Linked DNA regions of Oreochromis niloticus. The protein of the gene in region 3 purifies or fractionates together with the protein of the main gene of each other region. This does not show direct contact. Links are inferred from orthologs where the notes say so. Each region holds a gene or a part of one and is shown on either strand. Other genes may lie near its edges.

Region 1 (3,559 bases), on a different chromosome or scaffold from region 3:
CCTGCTCCAAAATTGCTGACCACATGGACAAGACAACATGGACCAGTCAACGATCAAAGTATTACGGCCAGACAAAACAATAACTGAAATATGGCCACAATGACAAGATGTTGTTTGGAGGAGGTGACCTGTTAAGCCTGGTGGTAGCATCATGCTCTGGGGCAGTTTGCTGGCAGTGGTGCTGGTACTTTAAACAAAATGCATAGAATAATGATGAAGGGCTACCTCCAAATTCTTCAACCTCACCCCTATTTAACAGCTTGCAGGTTGAAGCATCAAGAAGTGTGGTCAAAACCCAGTCAGAATTATGCAAGTCTGTTGATGGCTTCCAAAAGTATATGATCAAGGTACAACTTGCTAAGGGAACCAAATAATCCTGAGGATGTGTGAATATATTTGACCCTGTGTGGGTTGGTGAAAATACGAAATAAATTGAAACTTGTTCTCCCAACTCTCATTTTTTTTATTCATTAAAGATATATGCTATACAATCATTTCACCCTGCAAAAAGAACAGATCAAACAAATCATTAATAGGTTAAAATTATCCATGGTGAGTGTAAGTAAACTTCCATTTCCACAGTGATGCAGTGACTTTCACTTTCGTTGTCAGTAACCTTCTTATGGCAGCTCATGCAAAGGTTACCAACTTTAGTTACGAATGAAATGTAGAGTTGATCTATTAGCTAGGAAAAGGTTATGATAATGCTGAGAAAAAAAAATCAAACTGCGATAGAACATATTATTTGCTACTCTACTGTTAGCTTTGTTAGCTCTAGTCACATTCACAGTGTATAGTTACATGTAAATATTTAGCAAAAAGAATTAAAAAATGGTTCAAGTACTACTTATTAGAAGCAGAAAGCCGGTTTAATGCATTTAGAGACTCTAAAATGTAGCTATGTTAGCAAGTATGTCTAAAATAACCGGCTATGCGGCTAAGGCTACAAGCTAACGCGTTGTCATACCGTGTTTCATCTGAATGATGCTGCTTGCTGCAACATTATCAGCGGCGACGAGGACAAAATCCTGTCCCTGTATCCCGATTAAATATTCCATTCTGTTGAACTGACAGAAGTTGGAGTATTTATATAAAACAGATTAAATTATGAGCAGTCTCTTTGCCTCGCCTGTATGGATTACACAGCAAAAGTTTGTGATAGCCGGCGCACAGTGTTTACGTCACAGCAAAGGAAGCTCGTGTTTTCCACGCGACGCGGGCGGGCAATTTGAACGTTCGCTGTTGTTGTGTGCCCTGTGTTGGTTGAGTTACAGTCTGATCCGCTGTAAGAGAAGAAAAAAGATCTGGAGTTTCTTTAGGAGACTGTTGGGATGAACGAAGGGACTCCTCGGAGCATAATGACGGACTCTAATAGCCTTGACAGCTCGCAGCGGAGACGTTCCCCGCGGCTGAGCTCTCCGCAAGCTCAAAGTGACAACAAAATGGCGCTGCCGTCTCTCGCTGTTAAACGCTCAATCACTGTGAGAAAAATAGCGCCCAGAAAAACAGTCGCGTTATCGGAACAGAACAAGGAGAACACGCCGAGGCCGTCCAGCTCTGAGGGCATCCAGCAGAAAAAGCAGGTCTCCACGCCCGGTCCCGTCCCCGGCCGAGAGAGCAGCTCTTCCTCGGCTAAGAAGAAAAAGAAGGCCGCTATGCCTTCACCGATCCTACCCTCATCACCGCCGCCTGCTTCTCATCCCTCGCAGATGGATCCAGAAGACGCGGTGTGGTCGCAGAAGGTACGCCGATCTTACAGCAGGCTCAGCGAGAAGTCTTTCAACAGCCCCGAGTCTCGTGAGACCTTATTCGGCTTTGAGAAGCTGAAAACCCCAGAGGTCCGGAGAGCCGGGGTGTCCAAGTTTGGCCTGGAGGTTTCCGCAGGATCATTTACAGGACTGAACTCATTCACGTCTTTGCTTGAGGCTGATGACTGCGGTGGTTCAGCTTTCCCCGAGCCGGACCCAGACATCCCCGGAGTGGCTGTGGTGAAGGAGAGGAGGAGGAGGAAGAAGAAGGTCCAGCAGATAGACACCACGGAACTTGACGCTCTGGCTGCACAGATGAATGCAGAGTTTGACCAGGCTGAGGAGTTTGAACTGGTCGTGGAGTAAATATTCAAGGGAAAAGAGAAAGACTTGGGCAGCATGCTTGTGTTTGTCACAGACATGCACACAAACACTGACTCTGGGAGGACTCTGCTGAAAATGTGCTTTTCTTACTCTAAACATTCAAGTTTTATCTGTTTTTATTTGTTCTTATTGTAAAGTTTGATCATTTTGGAGTTTCCTGTGTTTATTTGTTCCTGTAAATGCTCTTAATGTGATTGCTAGTCATTTTGTGGATGCTTGCAGACAGGATAGTTTTTGATGTTATAATGGCCCCATAGTTACACAAACAAGACCAAAATTAAAATTTTTAGATACATTCACCTGTAGTAAAATCAGTCAGGATGCAACAATATATCAGCAAATATCAGGGTTGTTGACTGGCGCTGGTATTTTTCAAATAAGATGCCTTTCACTGATTTTTATCTGGTGTGTGACCATCGCTTTTACTCTGGTGGGATGTTAAAGGCTTTTAAGACAGTTGTGTTCTTATTATAATCTTATTATGAATATTTCATTATCTCCCCTGGCATAAGGGTTGAATAAATAACAATAAAATGAAGACAAAAAGAATCTTGTGTCACCCTGGAAGCATAATACAGGGGGAGTTGTAGCCTTTAAAGGGGCAGTTTTCTACCCTGTAGAGTACATTTTGTTTCTCTTAATGTTTGTAATAGAGGCTGAAAACAAAAGATTTTGGTATAATTTTCTATATCTAAAACCAGGATATTTCCTCTTTTATAGAGTGTTTGAATCCACATTTATTGACACAAAGGTTCTATAGCAGTTGCCAATACTCTCGTCCTGAACTGTTTTCTTATGTGTCTTTTCTTGGAAATTTTCATGTAAATAAATGCTAAAGCTGGATCTGACTTCTGAGTCAAAGTAAATTGTTTTATCCTTTATTTTTCCCAAATTACACACAAATTCCAACAATATCTTAATTTATAAAACAAAAGAAATAGAAAATAACAAAGACGACCATCACAGACTTGCAACATTATAAATGGTATTTTCATCTTATTCCAGCTGTAAAATGAATATTACACAGAAATCTGTTTATTTAATCTGTCACTAGTATTCTGAGGTTTGAAATGTGTACTGAGTTATTGCCTGATGATGGCACTCAGGATTAGCCAGCACAGACTAACAAGGTGCTAACCAAGCACGCTGACAGCAAAGAGGTGGTCTCCAGTGGTTATGATGAGGTGAACTGAATGACTGAGTGGGCAATGTGTCTCTGTTTAATGAGAGTGGTGGACATTTTTCCTCCAGAGTCTCTTAAAGGAGTTGATAGAGGATCATTTGCACTAACAAGGAGCTATGTTCTGAGTAACCAATGCTTCTTGAAAACTTGTCAGGATTTGTTGATTTATTTATGACTTAAAAAATGAAGAAGGGTGACGTGAGGAGCTGTAGTAACTGCAGAGGGATGAAGGTGGTGAGCCACA
Region 2 (3,753 bases), on a different chromosome or scaffold from region 3:
AAAGGGCGTGCAGAGCAGCTGCATTCCTTGATAATAGCGTTGTTCCATTGATGTGGAAAACCTCAGCTGTTTTTTGTTTTTTTCCTCTCCCCAAAGAAAACAGGTGCAAGTGAGCCTATGAGGGAACCATCTTTGGATTTTTCAGAACATGCTCTCTGAAAAATATTATATGCAGATTGGTTATTGAAATTGCAGAGATTGGTCAGTCTTGAGGAATCAATTTAAGTGTGTGTGCTGCAGCTGTGACAAATGTAATTCTTTGTTATTTTACAAGTGTCGTACATTATTAGTCTTCCTCACTTAACTGGTTGCTCATTTCTAAAGCATGGTGTTACATTTCTCTGCCTCTTTATTCATTGTTTTGTTGTCACAGACTGACGCAGCTGGAGGTGCGTCGCCAGATGAGGCAGCAAGGAGACGGCCCCTGGTTCCAAGTGCCGACCCTTAACAAAGAGCTAATTGACAACAGCCCCAAGTCATCACCTGACCATTAATCCAGATGTTTCTGTCATCTGTACATCAATCTCACTGTTTGTACATTTTTTCCCATATTGCGTGAATAAAGTATCTATATGAACTCTGATATTCATGTTTTAGCGTCTTAATTCGGTTCATGCAGCAAACACCTTCACCATGATGATATTACAGAGTTACAGATGATCGGGGATTGGCAGCTTGTGTCAAACCCACTGACACCACCTGTCTTCAGCTTGTGTGAATACTTCTGAGCTGAAATCATCCAATAAAGCTCAAGTTGAACAGTAAATCAAATGTGCATAATATATATGTAATTAAATTTTTTTGTAAATGTATTTATTTATTTTTGGCCGGGGCCTTCATTAAGGAGTTTGCATTTTCTCTGTTGTGTGCAGTTAGTGGGGTTAATTAGTGACTCTAAAAATCTCCTGTGGTTGTCTGTCTCTGTAGCAGCCCGGCATCGAGCTGACAACCTGTCCAGGATGTACTCGGTCTGTTGATAAAGAACAAAATATATCCATCTTTAAAATGCTTAGCCAGGGCTGAGAAAGTTTCAGCCAAGTGCAATTAAAAAAAAACCAAAACTGCACCTTACATTTATTTGTACTGTAAATTCTTCCAGATCTCTAAGGAAGGCTGGATTCCTCTTGGTTTATAGTTTATATTTTCTTGCGATAACCACGAGCGTCCACCGGGTGGCAGAGCTCTGCAGACAAGACTAGCCTGGTCACGTGGACAAAGGGCTTCTTTACACACATGCAGCACTATTTAAAAGTGGACTTAAAATCACATATCAAACATATAAATAAAAATTAGTCATCTGAAGTATATTTTTTGTTTATTATTATCTATTATTATTATTATCTATTATTAAATGACATTTACTGCTCTGTCTTTTTTTTAAATAGACCAAACCGACTGCAGATTGATAAGCAGCTACTAAAAATCAAAGTGTCTTCCATAATCACGCACTTCCTGAATCCTGGAAACTGGAAACATGTTGTAGTAAATGTGGGTGGTCTTATGAATCATCCTCAGAGGTGGGAGGGGCCCTTCTCGTAAAACATCCCCGTGAGCAGGAGCAGCACAGCGGCGTCACCACAGCCAACAGTAGCAATGTAATTTCTGCGCAGGTCCAAGATTTCTCTTTTTTTTGTGGTGGGAGGCAGGAAAAAAGAATAGAAAAACAAAAGAACAACATTAGCTTTCAGCGTTGTGCCGCACCGTGCAGCAGCCTGCCTGCCTGCCTCCACCCCTCTGTCATTTTATTTTTATGTTTTTCAACGTCACATCCCCCTGGTCGCAGGAATGTAGAGACGAAGTGCTTTAAAAATAGCATCCTCTCCTGTGACAGGCGCTGCCCCGGAGGCTCCGCAGCACTGTGGTGCGAGAAGCAGGAATGCGAAGATGGCTGCAGACCTAGGAGAGCTGCTGGTCCCATACATGCCCACCATCAGGGTCCCCAGAACAGGAGACAGGGTTTTCAAGAGCGAGTGCGCCTTTTCTTTCGACTCTCCCGTAAGTGTGCCTGTCGCCCCCCCTCCTCACACACACACTCACTCAGTGAGACACGAGCGGCTTGTTTGGGGAGAGAAAGTGCGTCGTAGGCGAGCTGACAGCTTGTTTTGCACGAGCTCAGCGGCGCACGTGAATCTGCTGTAAATGCGCGTGTCTCCATGGTCACCGTCTCCGCGAGCTTGGGAGGTTAAAAAACAATTAAAGGGTGTTTACGTCTCAGGCGAAAGGGATGAAAGGAGTTTCCTTTGTGTCCACTTCACACCACCCCACTACTACTGTAGGTCCTAACGCAGGCCAGTTAGACCAATAAACGGAGCCACACACCTACACCTGCCTGAAGCTGGGCTCAAATCCTCCACCAGCAGCAGCACAGCCGTGTTCAGGAGTGAGTTTACTGCTCCACTCTTGGGTTTTTATAGTCTATAATTTGTCTGAAAATGACCTAAAGTGCGCCAGTGGTGCTTGCTGGAACTGTGTCCACGGGGATGCTTCTGTTCTCAAACAGCCAGGATTTGTAGACGTTTCAAGACCTTAATGGTGTTGTTTTGGTTTTTAGTAGCCATTATGGCGTCACATGGTGTCTCCGCGACACTGTGACTATAACGAGTCAAAAAGTGAAATATTTGATGCTTCTGCTATTGCTCTCAGCTTTTTCTGTATATATTTTAAAATGCTTATTCTGCTTTATTTTTGTCATTTTACTTTTCTTCTGTGAATAGGACAGCAGTGCCATCATGAACACGGCGGCTGTTTTACTTTACTTGAACCTTTAAGGGGTTTTATGCGCTGATGATGCAGAGTTCAGTCCTTCCTGTACGTGGACTGAACCCTGCATTTTTTATATCTGTCACAGGTACCCTTCCTACCTGTGACAGATATAAAATTTCTTTGCCCCAGTGAAATCTCGCTTTCTCGACTGAAACCGTTTTTAAAGGTGACTCAGCTGTCTGGAGTTCATCATGTTGGCCTGAGGACTGGGTTATTTTTACCCTTGCACTGTTGAGGCTCATATGTCACTCTGGGCCACTTAAAGGTTTATCACGGGGAGGTTTATTAGGCCTGGCCTGGTCGCAGATTTAGGTTAGCGTTGAAGGTATATTTTCCAAGTGTTTTGTGTTCCCATGTGAAGTGAACTGTCAAAGAAAGGAAAAGGTTGATGTTATTGTAGATTTGAAAGCATGTTTAGGTGTCTGTCACCATTCACGTGGACTTTTTTTGATAATAACAAGATGACCAAAGAATCACGTTCTTCTCTAAAAGACATGACACAAGTCAGTCTGAGCTTACGGGCTGTTGCTAAAGGTAAAAATCATTCTCCTAAGAGCTCAGACATGTTGTTAATGAAATGAGTCTGCCTGTAATGGGACGCTTTTCAGTTTCAGAAACAACAGCATAAAATTGTTGTATCATGTTGCTCGTATGAAGCCTAATATGAGAGAATAATCAGTTACTTTCCTTGAATTAAATGACCTGTCAGAGGAGGCATTTGTATTCAAACTAATGCTTGTCAGCAGCACAAATGCTGAAAGGTGGAAAGTTTTTGGTGCAAATAATAATTCTTTGAGCGAGAAAGACTTTGGAAAGTGTCAGAATCACATCTTTGTGTTTGATATTACGGTGATGAGTTTGGCAAATTGGGCAAAATAGAAGATCCTGAAATTGTTCCCACGGTAAGAAATATTTCAAATGTGCTCATAGCGTGCCAGTTGTGCTTTCTCATTGTTACTGTTTGTTTTGCTCCGCAGGAGTCTGAGGGAG
Region 3 (3,753 bases):
AACACTGTTTTACTGTCTGTTCAACTAGAAACACTCACCCAATGACCACTGCTTGAAGAATGCAATTCATTTCACATCACCCAAAACTACTGTGCATTAAAAAAAAAAGGAAAAAAAAAAGTGAGCCTGGCACTGCACTCCTCTCTCACCTTTCCCTGCTTGACAATGTAGTAGGGGTTACTCCGAGAGAAGCCAGCACTCTCCAAAAGGTTCATGACATCATTCTTACTGCAACAAGAAGAGTGCATAGAATAGATGGAATCACACATGCAGTAATTTTAACATGGCAAATTTAACATGGACAGCTGATCCCTCACAATACTTACGTCACCATCTTCTTGTCTAAAAAGTACTGGTCCTTCTTTGCTCCAATGACACGACGAAGGGAGACTTCCTCTTTGTCAATCTAGAAAGAGATGCATTTATCACTGGGCAAGCTGAGAGTCACACAGAGGAGGATAATTGGCAGGTTATGCCACAGTATTACCAGGCTACAACATTTCACAGACATCCGCCCTTCATCATCAGAATAAGAAGGACTGTGTGTACTGAAGGCAACGCAGTGCAATCAGTGGTCTTCATAACAGTTCTCACCAGGAGACTTCAATATTCAATATGACATGAACAACTTAAATTGGACTAAGGATGTTCACCATTTTAATACCCAAGATTAAGAGTCTTGTTACAAAAGAAAGCATAAAAGGGTTGATGTTGCTGGTTGTTTTGACTTTAGTTTATTGTGTTTTCCTTTTTTATTTTGAGGTTTACTTTGATACAAACCAATGTAAACAATAATGCAAATTTAATTGTGAAACAAATATCAGCACTGAAAAAAGGCTATATGATCATACACACGTTTAGCCACAAGCGGCTCAGTGACCGTTTATTTAACACATACACACATATTCCTTGAGAGGCCTATGTAAATGTTTAAATAATACCACAATGAAATCAAGCAGAAAATACAGTAATAGAATAAATTTGAAATGTTTGCCATTCCTACCGGCAGTCGGTTGTCAGAGTTGTCAAATATAATCTCCACAAAAGCCGAAATGACACGTGGACCAGTTCCCTCCTACAGTGACAGGGAGAGAGAGATTTTTTACACACAGGTTTTGGCATCTACCAAAGAGATTTTAGTCAAAGCTAAAGCAAAATCACCCGCACTGTGATAAAAGTTAATTTTTAAAAAACATTTTTGCCAATTGGCACAGGTAGAAAAATGCATAGATTTTGACTGAGAGTAATCTGTTATTTAGCAAGCATGCTTGCATTCATACCTTCCCACTAAAGGCTGATGTTCCCAGTAATGGGACTCACATTTTCCTGTACTTACATGGAGCAGGGCCAAGCGTTGTTCAGGTCGCAGGTGGCTGAATTCATCACTGAGCACAAACTGGATGGCTAAAAAAAAAAAGAGAGACGGAAGTTAAGTCTTAGATAACAACCAGCAATGTCACTGAAGTCTAAATGTTTGAATTCTATATTGCAGCAAGTTTTGAGGCTTCATACCATAGAAAAAGTTACTTTTTCCTGATCCATTCCTCCCAACTGTAAGATGAAGGGAAAAATAAACACAAAATGAGGATATGGTGACATATAGGACAAAGTATCCGAAAAACCTGATTAGCAACTCAGGTGCAATACAAAATAATTATGGAAAGATGTGGATGAACACATACCGATGACATTGTGCTTCGGGCTAAAGGGGTCTACCACAGTTTGGTCCCTGTAACTTCGGAACCCCTGAATGATCACCTGCACAGGGAACCAGAGACCACCGTGAACACACCGACTACAACATCAGCTGTTTCAGTGCAACATTTTAACCGCATACTATAGGTAAACATGGTCAAAGAGCTCCCGGGTCTATGAATATTTTTAAACATAAGATGTGTCAACTGTTTATGCTGAATAGCACCATCACAGGTAAAACGAGGCAACGGGGCCTTGGCTGATGGTCACTCTGATGGTCTACCGCTACTTTCATTCAGGACATTTTTGAAGGCTTGAAATCAACAATGCCAAGTTAGCCGACAACTATACAATAAACTCTCGTATTCTGCATCATATACAACATTACACGTTATAACAACAATGAAAAGAAGCATATAAATCAGAAAACCTAAGGCTGGCCTAGTTGCGTTAGCTTAGCATCTCGAGAAGGGGACGGGCAATTCACTTCTACACTAATTCAAATCGCGCTAGCTAACGTTAGCTAGATAGCTACACAACGTTTGCCATTTATGGAGTGCCTGTGCACAGTTTTGCAATCCAATCAACGTTACTTTGTGAAGTGAAGCCTCACTCAAAGTATAATAGCAATATATTTATCATTCAGTGGAAAAACGTTAAGCTGGCCTAATTCTTGTTATTAGACCAGTAACAGTCGGCAACACGTATCAGTCTGGTCTCGTTAGCTTACCTGTTTAATATACATGGCTGCTTATCCAGGGCGTCTCCTCTGCAAATTTGGAGATGAAACACTCCCTGCGCCAAGCTGGAGAAAACACAACTATAATAATCCAAACTTAACAATCAAACTGTTGCATTAAAAATCATAAAATACTGTAAGGCAGGAAAGAATAACATGGAAAATGGCGGCGGGGGCGGGATAGAATGGATGATACCAATTTGTGAAACCAGGTTGTAGGGATATCCTTGCACTATATTCCTACATGTGGGGAAGCTAAATAATTCATATGAAAGGTAAAAATTCAAATATAACAATAATATAATGTGTATCTACGGTTAGGTTATGTTTGCGACATAACATTAGGTCTTTTAATCTTGCTGTTTATTCGCCTCTCTGTTTGTTTAGTTGGTACAGTCTAGCAGGCTGCGCTCTGGGCGCCAAAATTGTTTTGATGAGCAGCAGTGGGAAATATAAGACTAAAAGCGGTAAAAAACAAAAACAAAAAAAATGACTGTGTTAATAATGATCAAAATTATTGTATTAATTATTATCAAAATTATTTATAGTGTCTTTAAATAACACAGTGCAGACAGTTTTGTAACAGTAATTTTGACTAATTATTTTCTAGGAGTTGATGTTTCAAAATTCAGATTAACATTGGTTTAAGTTTTCTATGAAAGCGACATGTTTCATCGCTTTCATAGATTATGCATAAAAAATACGGCTATGTGGAAGGCGACTATAGGTAAGAAACAGATGCAAGGCTTCTGATCTAAATTTACCTCTAGTCACAAGGGCCAGCTCTAAGCCACTGTAGGTGTCACTATTGCTTCTACTGCTGCATTTATGCCTGTCTAGACAGGATTTATTATCTAAACCCATAAATATTGGTCATTCCTTTGTCTTGTTTTTATGAAGAGGTTTATGTTGGCTTGCATGAAAAAGGGCACTTGCCAAATACACAATAAAAGATTACACGACAACAATGTTTTTGCAGTGAAAACATTTATTAAACACATATTTTTATCCACATTATTGAAAAAACAGACCATCATTTTCAAATAAATTAGGTTTAAATGCCTGACCATGTTTGTGAGTAGGCAAATGAATCACAATATCAACCTAAGGCATGTATATTGCAGTTTATCACTGTGCTGTGTTGTTTCATCACTGCAGTTCAGAAGACAGGAAAAAAGCATCAGTGTCTCTAGCCCATGGATTTCATAGGCTTCAAGTCCTATTATGAATACAGTTGTCTTTGACTCTTCTTTGTGTCTGTGGCTGATCTCCAGTCTATCTGCTCTGCCGTATTCAACACGAGGCACACAGAGAGAGCG

The links.
Region 1: the proteins of smc3 (region 3) and cdca5 purify together in Homo sapiens (affinity purification with mass spectrometry; 7 studies listed by BioGRID and IntAct, counting the BioPlex papers as one, with this or other methods). This does not show direct contact. The link is inferred for Oreochromis niloticus from reciprocal best matches to the Homo sapiens genes SMC3 and CDCA5.
Region 2: the proteins of smc3 (region 3) and usp13 purify together in Homo sapiens (affinity purification with mass spectrometry; 4 studies listed by BioGRID and IntAct, with this or other methods). This does not show direct contact. The link is inferred for Oreochromis niloticus from reciprocal best matches to the Homo sapiens genes SMC3 and USP13.

Annotation. Positions count from the first base shown.
Region 1 is NC_031985.2:14,020,218-14,023,776, forward strand, and holds cdca5 (sororin), read left to right. Parts: upstream 1-1,299; 5' UTR 1,300-1,331; coding exon 1,332-2,114; 3' UTR 2,115-2,980; downstream 2,981-3,559. Other genes in the region: psmb2 (proteasome subunit beta type-2), read right to left, coding at 968-1,058. UniProt on the Homo sapiens protein: Regulator of sister chromatid cohesion in mitosis stabilizing cohesin complex association with chromatin. May antagonize the action of WAPL which stimulates cohesin dissociation from chromatin.
Region 2 is NC_031986.2:45,480,448-45,484,200, reverse strand, and holds the start of usp13 (ubiquitin carboxyl-terminal hydrolase 13), read left to right. Parts: upstream 1-1,585; 5' UTR 1,586-1,884; coding exon 1,885-1,995; intron 1,996-2,043; exon of another isoform or gene 2,044-2,380; intron 2,381-3,740; coding exon 3,741-3,753. Other genes in the region: ndufb5 (NADH dehydrogenase [ubiquinone] 1 beta subcomplex subunit 5, mitochondrial), read left to right, coding at 374-494. UniProt on the Homo sapiens protein: Deubiquitinase that mediates deubiquitination of target proteins such as BECN1, MITF, SKP2 and USP10 and is involved in various processes such as autophagy, endoplasmic reticulum-associated degradation (ERAD), cell cycle progression or DNA damage response.
Region 3 is NC_031971.2:30,160,966-30,164,718, forward strand, and holds the start of smc3 (structural maintenance of chromosomes protein 3), read right to left. Parts: upstream 2,629-3,753; 5' UTR 2,441-2,628; coding exon 2,426-2,440; intron 1,759-2,425; coding exon 1,683-1,758; intron 1,552-1,682; coding exon 1,513-1,551; intron 1,405-1,512; coding exon 1,337-1,404; intron 1,076-1,336; coding exon 1,004-1,075; intron 407-1,003; coding exon 327-406; intron 229-326; coding exon 150-228; intron 1-149. UniProt on the Homo sapiens protein: Central component of cohesin, a complex required for chromosome cohesion during the cell cycle. The cohesin complex may form a large proteinaceous ring within which sister chromatids can be trapped.